Linked DNA regions of Drosophila melanogaster. The protein of the gene in region 1 interacts with the protein of each later gene in a pairwise test. Each region holds a gene or a part of one and is shown on either strand. Other genes may lie near its edges.

Evidence for each region.
Region 2: the proteins of CG5359 (region 1) and Ttc19 interact in a two-hybrid assay, tested with the Drosophila melanogaster proteins (one large-scale study listed by BioGRID).

The regions. Positions count from the first base shown.
Region 1 is NT_033777.3:9,999,312-10,003,065, forward strand, and holds CG5359 (uncharacterized protein), read right to left. Parts: upstream 1,966-3,754; 5' UTR 1,891-1,965; coding exon 1,629-1,890; intron 1,571-1,628; coding exon 1,311-1,570; 3' UTR 1,262-1,310; exon of another isoform or gene 1,195-1,261; intron 1,058-1,194; 3' UTR 1,004-1,057; coding exon of another isoform or gene 867-1,003; 3' UTR 715-866; coding exon of another isoform or gene 587-714; 3' UTR 533-586; coding exon of another isoform or gene 525-532; 3' UTR 460-524; downstream 1-459. Other genes in the region: Spn85F (serpin 85F), read left to right, coding at 1-450, 525-532, 587-714, 867-1,003; Mical (molecule interacting with CasL), read right to left, coding at 3,124-3,129, 3,187-3,383, 3,442-3,542, 3,599-3,676, 3,736-3,754.
Region 2 is NT_033779.5:19,043,168-19,046,921, reverse strand, and holds Ttc19 (tetratricopeptide repeat domain 19), read left to right. Parts: upstream 1-1,773; 5' UTR 1,774-2,018; coding exon 2,019-2,552; intron 2,553-2,604; coding exon 2,605-2,768; intron 2,769-2,838; coding exon 2,839-2,986; intron 2,987-3,038; coding exon 3,039-3,302; 3' UTR 3,303-3,387; downstream 3,388-3,754. Other genes in the region: Acn (acinus), read right to left, coding at 1-1,355; Catsup (catecholamines up), read right to left, coding at 3,572-3,754. UniProt on the Drosophila melanogaster protein: Required for mitochondrial complex III formation.

The sequences.
Region 1 (3,754 bases):
CACACGCATGTCCCGCACCACCCGCTGCACTTTCCGCCGCCAGTGCCCGCTGCCTTTGCACCCATCACGAATGATTTTGAGCCACACTATATCGGAGAGGCGGCCGAGGGAAAGTCCAACTATAACACGGATGTGATCAGCCACGTATTCTACTTGGGCAATCAACAGGTGGTGCACACCACCTTCAAGGTATATAACGCAGTGCTGTACTACAAGTACTTTGAGCACCTGAAGATGAGCGTGCTGGAGTTGGAATTGGACACACCGGAGTACAACCTAATGATCCTGTTGCCCGACTACCACACGGATATTGTTGCAGCCGCCGCCTCCTTGAAACTGGGACCAACCCTTCGACTGATGCGGAAGCAGTTGAAGCCACGCTGGGTGCAAGCCATCATTCCAGATTTCAAGCTGCACGGCACCATGTTTTTGACAAACGACTTGCAGAATGTATGTATTCATTTGTAGAGTGCATTTTTGTGTTTTTATTGAGGTGTCTTTGGTTTTTGTGCTCTCTGTTGCAGATGGGAATGTAAGCATGGGTGTAATAGCTCCAGTTCCTGGCTTCATTTTACTTTCGTTGCAGCTGCGACGTATTCGAACCAAATCGCGCCGATTTCAGGCCCATGACTGAGGAGAAGGGCGTCTACGTGCGACACATTGAGCAATCCATAGACGTCACCATCCGTACGCATCCCATCAATCAGCTGAAGCGTAAGTGTCTCGCATTGCAGCACACCTGAATGGAATGGAGTGGAGGCATTGAGCCGCAACGCATTGCGAATGCCCAACCTAATGGTGTTGCAACAGTTGCAGCCTCTGCAACACGAGACAAAGTGCAATAAACACTTCCTTTTACTCTCTAGGCAACTACGGCGCCCAATCGAAGCCCATTCAGATCTCTGTGAATCATCCGTTTCTGTTTTTCATCGTCGATCGCGACTTGGACGTGGCTGTGATGTCGGGCCGCATACTGAATCCGCTGAACGTACGCATCCAATGAAGCACGACGAAGGTCGACTATCGAAAGTGATGAACCCTTTGTTCCCGGTGCCTACTAATACGAGATGTTAGCATTGCTTAGATTAAAATGTAAATATACGGGGGTGTCACGAGACTCTGGGCAGATGAAATTTGAATGGAAGTAAAGAAACTTCATACTTAAAATTATCATTAAATTAAACAACATTTGTTGAATATTTTATCTATATAATATTTTTAGAAAACACATCTCGTGACAACCCATTTAATGTAAGCTCACCCCATTAAAGTATAATCCTTAGTCTAACTAGTTCTGTGGGAAATCGGTTTTAGTACTGATACGTTCCAAACACTGTACAGACGCAAAAGAGACTGGTGTTGCTGAAGACCTCGGAGACGGAAGTGTCGCAGTCGCAATCCCAGCAGCAGCGCGAGTTGTAAGTGGCCCCCGCACCCAGCTCCTGGCCTAGCATCACCTGGACCACGTGCTTGTACCGCTTCACCAGGGAGCTGCTGGCTATCTGCTGGTTCACCTCGTCGGCGATCTCACTGGTCCACTTCTTGGCGACGTCCTTGTCATAGGTTTTGTCTTCAAATAGTGAAGTTGCTAGGCAACGCGCAGTATATTTATGGATTTTCACACTAACCTTTGAGTTTCTCGGCCATAACGTTGTTCATTATGCTCTTGATGGTGGGCAGGGGAAACATCTCCCCAAAGGCCGGTCGCATGCTATAGGCGGTGGGCTGGTCGCCGGGCTTTTCCGACTTTTCTTGATTTTCCAAACCATCGGCTGAGCCGGAGTGCAGACTTCCTGACGCCGACTTTTCCGACTTCCTATCCGCTGGGTTGGGCACTGTTAAAGTCTGGACGGATTTGGTTGTTTCCTCAGTGGACTGTTTGTCAGCCATCTTTTGTCAAATTCAGCGTAATTCCCTTTCAAAGTGTTTAAGAAAGCACCAAGAAAATCTTGGTTGCTATGTTTGTTTACTTATTGCTAGTGTTACCAGATGGTAAAATGGCTTTCCCGCCAATCCCTAATTGTCAGTCACCACGAATAACCGAACTTATTTGGTGTGGCCACTTTATAACAACGAAGTGTGGCACCTCTTTCATTTTCTGGATAATTTAAATTTATAATACGCGCCAATATTTTATGTGCGTCAAGTTAGCGTCGATGGCGGAATTTCCCCATTAAAGAACATTTCTTTAAGGACATTTAAGGAAAACTTCACGATAAAGTAGAACTATAAAATCGTCCTTAGGTTTCATAAAATCTTTATTCAATTCAAAATAAATCGAAAAGTTACATAATAAATTCGATAAATATGTTTTTATATATGCAGGTTATAAATAAAGTTACGCAATAATTTAAATGATTTCGTTAGTATACAGTTAATGGTTGCTTTCTCGCTTACATCGCTATGTGTAGGCTCTCGCATTTAGAAAATATTTGTGTGCATCTCTTTGTGTTCACTTTGATTTCGATTGGGGGCAAATGACATAATACATACATGGGTGTGCTGATCGGGAGGATGTGCGGAAGGTGCTTTGTCAAATAAATAATAATACACTCAAACGGTTTACATAGAAATCGACAAACAATCGCTAAGTGAAAATAACCTAAGAAAACTCAAATACACCATTTACATTTGCTCAAAATCACATACCCTTTGCACACGCTCACTACATTACATTAAATAAAAACACAACATATTGCATAGGACATACAAAAATCAGACAGATTTCAGTGGCAACGACTAACAAAACGTACAATTAGGTCGAATACGAAACTAAAGGTATTCGCAAAAACATTCGTAATCCCTACTTTTAAATTGCGAAATTAGTTTTTTGGTTTTGATTTCATCTCTGCCTGTTTTTACATTAACCTTGCGCGCTTCTCCCATATTAGTTAGGCTCTCTACTTATATAAATATTGAAATTGTTCTTAGCCAGCTTATCCACTTTGAATAGTTAGTTGCTCGTTTCGGTTACAGCTCACGGGTTTTAGTATTGTTAATTCTGTATATTCAGCTGCCTTTTTGGTACGCTCTCCCCTGTTCCCTTGTTTCATCTTAAGTATTTAGGCTCAACAGTCCATGCACCACTTCGCAGACCAGCAATCTCCAGGGAAAGTTGGCTATTCAAATCTGAAACAAGTGGTGTTGTCAATTTCAAATTTAAACATATAGGTCCTATTTACTCACGATCGATTCTTCGTGGTCATGCGGTTGTCCCGTCAGCTTAATGCCCGTTGCCTCGGCGGACGTGGATGCTGATCCCGCTGCCGTGAGGTCGAGCTGGGAGGCTGTGGGTCGTAGGGCGGCTCGCTTGGCGACAATTTCCAGCATCTCGTTGAGAATTGCTCCCTCGGCGGCCACATCGGCAGAGCTTTTGTCCAGTTCTGCAATGATGGAATTAAATATTATATCAAAGTTTTGAGAGGAAACTATAACACTCACTGTTGCAGGACAAGCGCAGATTGAGCTCTTCCTTCAGCTGGGCATGCCGATACTCCAGTTGCAGTTCCTGTTGCCTTATAGTCAGTTCCTCATCGCGTTTCCTAAAAACAAAATTACATTAGATTTGTTTATTATAGAGCTTCATTGATTAGCATACTTGAGTGCTGTGATGTTGCGCCAAATCTCCAAAAGTTCCTTAAGTAGCTTCTCGTCGTTGTCCTTTGTCGCATCCAGGCTGTAGAAGAGATTTCATTTAATGGGTATTCAAGGATATAGCCAGATCCTAGCACTCACTTTTCAATATTCTGCGCCT
Region 2 (3,754 bases), on another chromosome or scaffold:
AAATTGGTGATATAGAGCACGTGGCTGGCGCGGTTTCGAGCAGGACTAGGGTCACGGACTATGTGTGGTGCTGCCGTGGAAACTGTGGCTTTGCTCAGGCTGACCTGGGCTGAAACCGTGTCTGCTGCTGCTGGAGGAGCGGCTCCTGCTCCTTCATTATCTGCCGACGCCTCTGCGGTGGTGTCGCAGGTGTTGGCGGTATTGCCCTTGTTATCGCGGTCTTTGCTTGCTTCAGATGGGGGCGCCGGTGAAGCAGATCGCTCTGAATCGCGATCGCTGGTGACCAGGCCTTCCTCCTCTGAGGACGATTCCAGTTGCACATCGCTTAGGGGCACTGGCTGCACCACATCGGCTATAATGTTCTTCAGGGAATCCGTCGAAATGGCAAGCACGGGCGGGGTACGATCCGAAGACTTTTTGTTAGTCAGCCACTTTCGCTTCCGCACCGACCGTTGTTGCTGCAGAACTGGAGCACCGGTTGTGTTGGTTGCGCTGCTGTTTAGACATGGATCGTGCTTGTCGTTCGAAAGATCTGCTGGTTCATCGTGAATTTGTTCTGGGTTTTCGTCTATCTGCTTGTGGTTTTCCTTGTGTTCCTCCTCCTCTGCGGGTTGCTGTTCCTTTATCTGCTCCTTGTGCCTCTTCTTGGTTTCTCTGCGCTCCGCAGGAGCGGAGGCTTCTTCGTCCCTTTCATCGACCTCTTCTGTCTGAATGTCTAATACATCACTAGTCGTTTTTAGATGTTCCTCATCCTTGCTGGAAGGAGAAGGAACCTTTACCTCTTGTTCTGGCTCGCTCTGCTTGGTGTCATCATCAGTGGAAGTGGGGACCTCCTGCTGCGGTTTTAAGTCCTCTTTCTCAACATCATCATCCTTGACTACAGCGGGTTCAGCACAGGATTCATCGTCTTGAGCCTGCTGATCCTCCGTCTTGGCACGGTCCTCGGACTCGCTCTCATTAGCCGCGGGTGGCGCTACAGTCTTTTCCTCCTCGACAGCGTCCTTTTCAACATCCTTTCCATTCTCCGGCTCCTCCTCGGGTATGGTGTCCACCTTCTTGTCGCCGCCCTTGGACTCCGTGCGCTTTCTAGGCGTCGTCCGGCTGCCGCGACTCCTGCGCACTGGCGATGCTCCAGATCCGGCACGTTCTTCACTGGATGCCCGCGCCTCATTGATTTCTTGAGAGGCTGGCGGTACTTTGGGGCATTCGGCCTCATTATTTTGGGCCACGACCGGAGTCTCGACCTCGGTCTTCTCGTTCTCCGACACCTTGCGGGAGCGGCGACTTCTCCGTGCAACTGCCACCGGCACCGGAGCGGGCGACGACGACTTTTTTCGCTCGCTGCGACGTCTCATGGCTGTCCGAAAATCGCTGGAAACTCGCTGCGACGCTGGAAAGATCTGAAATAAAACGTAGGTACAGCCGGCGGACCCACAGCTATTTCATGCACTGCTTTGCGAATTCACTCCTCGTTATATTCTGCACCTTTTCTTGATAAGAAAAATAATTTTACTAGGCGAAAGAGCGTCAATCCGCCATCAATATACAGGGATGCTTTCTCTCGGTCTATCGCCCCGCTGACGGCTATCGATAGTATCGTATGCGATGGGGGAAGGAAGTACCTTATTACGAAAAACTTTATCAAATGTACTTAAATGTTTTTTATTCGAGATTGTTAATAACTCTACTTATCAATTTATTTTTGTTCGCAGATTTAACTTATGAACGAAATGTTAGGTACCAAAGTTGCCGATAAAGTTTTGTTTGACAGTGTCATCTCTAAAAAATTTAAAAACCTTTGTTTACGAAATCTTAACGAAACATAAATATATTTGCGAAAGTATGATAGAGTAGAAATTATTTAAAAGTCTTCTATGTTCTTAATCAAGCGTTACGAAATGTACTTTTAAAACGTCTTTACCGCGCTTTGCAACACTACATACGTGCTATTTCATAATTTTTAATACCATACCTGCAACATTATAGGTTTTAGTTAAATAATTAATAAAGCCCTAAACATGTTAGTGAGAAATATTTGCAAGTTTACGCAAGTTATGGGCAGGTTCCGCGTTGTCGTGAATCCCAGAGATTACTGTCATCTTGCGCCGCTGAAGAGAAGCCGTTATCACCAACGGTCAGAATTCGGATGTCGACCGCTGTGCTCCAATGCTGCGGGCTACGAGGTGTCCTGGGCAGCTCCGCCCGCTTCTGGCTCTTCCGGTGGAATGTTTTGGGCATTTTCCGCTGCTTTCACTCTGAATCTGTTTGGTGGCGCCGACGAAAAAGAGGAAACTCCGGAGGAAAAACTGATCAAGACCATCAAACGATCAATCCTGTGCATTCAGAGGGAACAGTACGACAAGGCCGAGCAAATGCTTCACCTGGCTCTGCGAATGGCGCAGGATATTCAGAGCAAGGACGGCATCACATATGTGTTTGATCTGATGGCCAATTTGGCCATGGAACGCGAGCAGTTTAAGAAGGCGGAGAAGATATTCACGGACGTTATGAAACGGCTTTTTGCCGAGGGTCACACCGAAGAGAGTCCCAAGGTGGGTGACCCACTTAGACACCATAACCAGTTAAGATCTCTTTCATCTTTAGATACTTCACATCAGCTCCAAGATAGCACACATGTCTCAGCTGCAAGGGGATCTGGAAAAGAGCTTTCAAGGGTTCACTTGGACCTTGCAGCAGTTGGCTAAGCTACTGGAGAAAATGCCCGACGACAAGGACATACTGGAGCTGTATGGCTTGACAAAGAATTGGTATTGAAGGTGTTTCCATTGCCGCTAACCAAGCCTTTTTTCAATACTTTTCCTTATGTTTATTTTCCAGGTTCGGGCAGCTGCTGATGAAGCAGGGAAAATACCTGGAGGCTAAAAACCTCTTTAAGGAGGCCTTCGACACGCTCATAAATGTTTATGGTGCCGTTAACGACGCCTCTGTAACCATCCTAAATAACATCAGTGTGGCGTACGTAAACGTAGGTGCGTCTATTCTTCCAAAGTACTTGAAACACATTAGACTAATTACAGCTGGAAAAGTACGCCGAGGCAAGGGAGACCCTTTTGGAGGCCATGGAGCTGACTAAGGAGCTAAAGGATGCCACCCAGGAAGGCATTCTGCAGGCAAATCTGGGTTTGGTGTATCTTCGCGAGGGCCTGATGTCGCAGGCGGAGAACGCTTGCCGACTGGCGTGGAAACTGGGAAAGCAACACCAGAATCCCGATGCCGTAGAGCAGGCCGAGTATTGTCTCAACGAGATAAAGACAACCCTGAATGGAGAGAAGCGCCAGTGAGGATTCTTTTTACAGTGTAATTTTGACTATTTATAAAAATTTCATTTCGAAGTGAAGCACAAATTTGGAAGGCTTAAAAAATCTTAAATAACGCCGCATTGTTTATATTGGGAACTAATAGCGGTTACTGACTGTTGAAATATAAGAAATTTAAGTAGTTGCTCATCGTTTTGAGTAGGTAACGAACAGAAATCTTTCAAATTGTTTGCGGCACACTTTCAGTACATGCAATTAGATCTTTTTTGTGTTAACTTTCCACAATTTTGATATTACTCGAACTTGGCGATAACGATCATTAGGGCTACGCCGGTTAGCAGCGCAAAGATTTCCTTCAGCGACTGTTTCAGTTTCGTAGACTCCTCAAGCAGCTCCGGCAGGACACTCACTGTTGCGATGTAAATAAAACCGCCGGCTGTGAAGGGCAAGACCCATGGGGCCGATCCGTCCCCGCC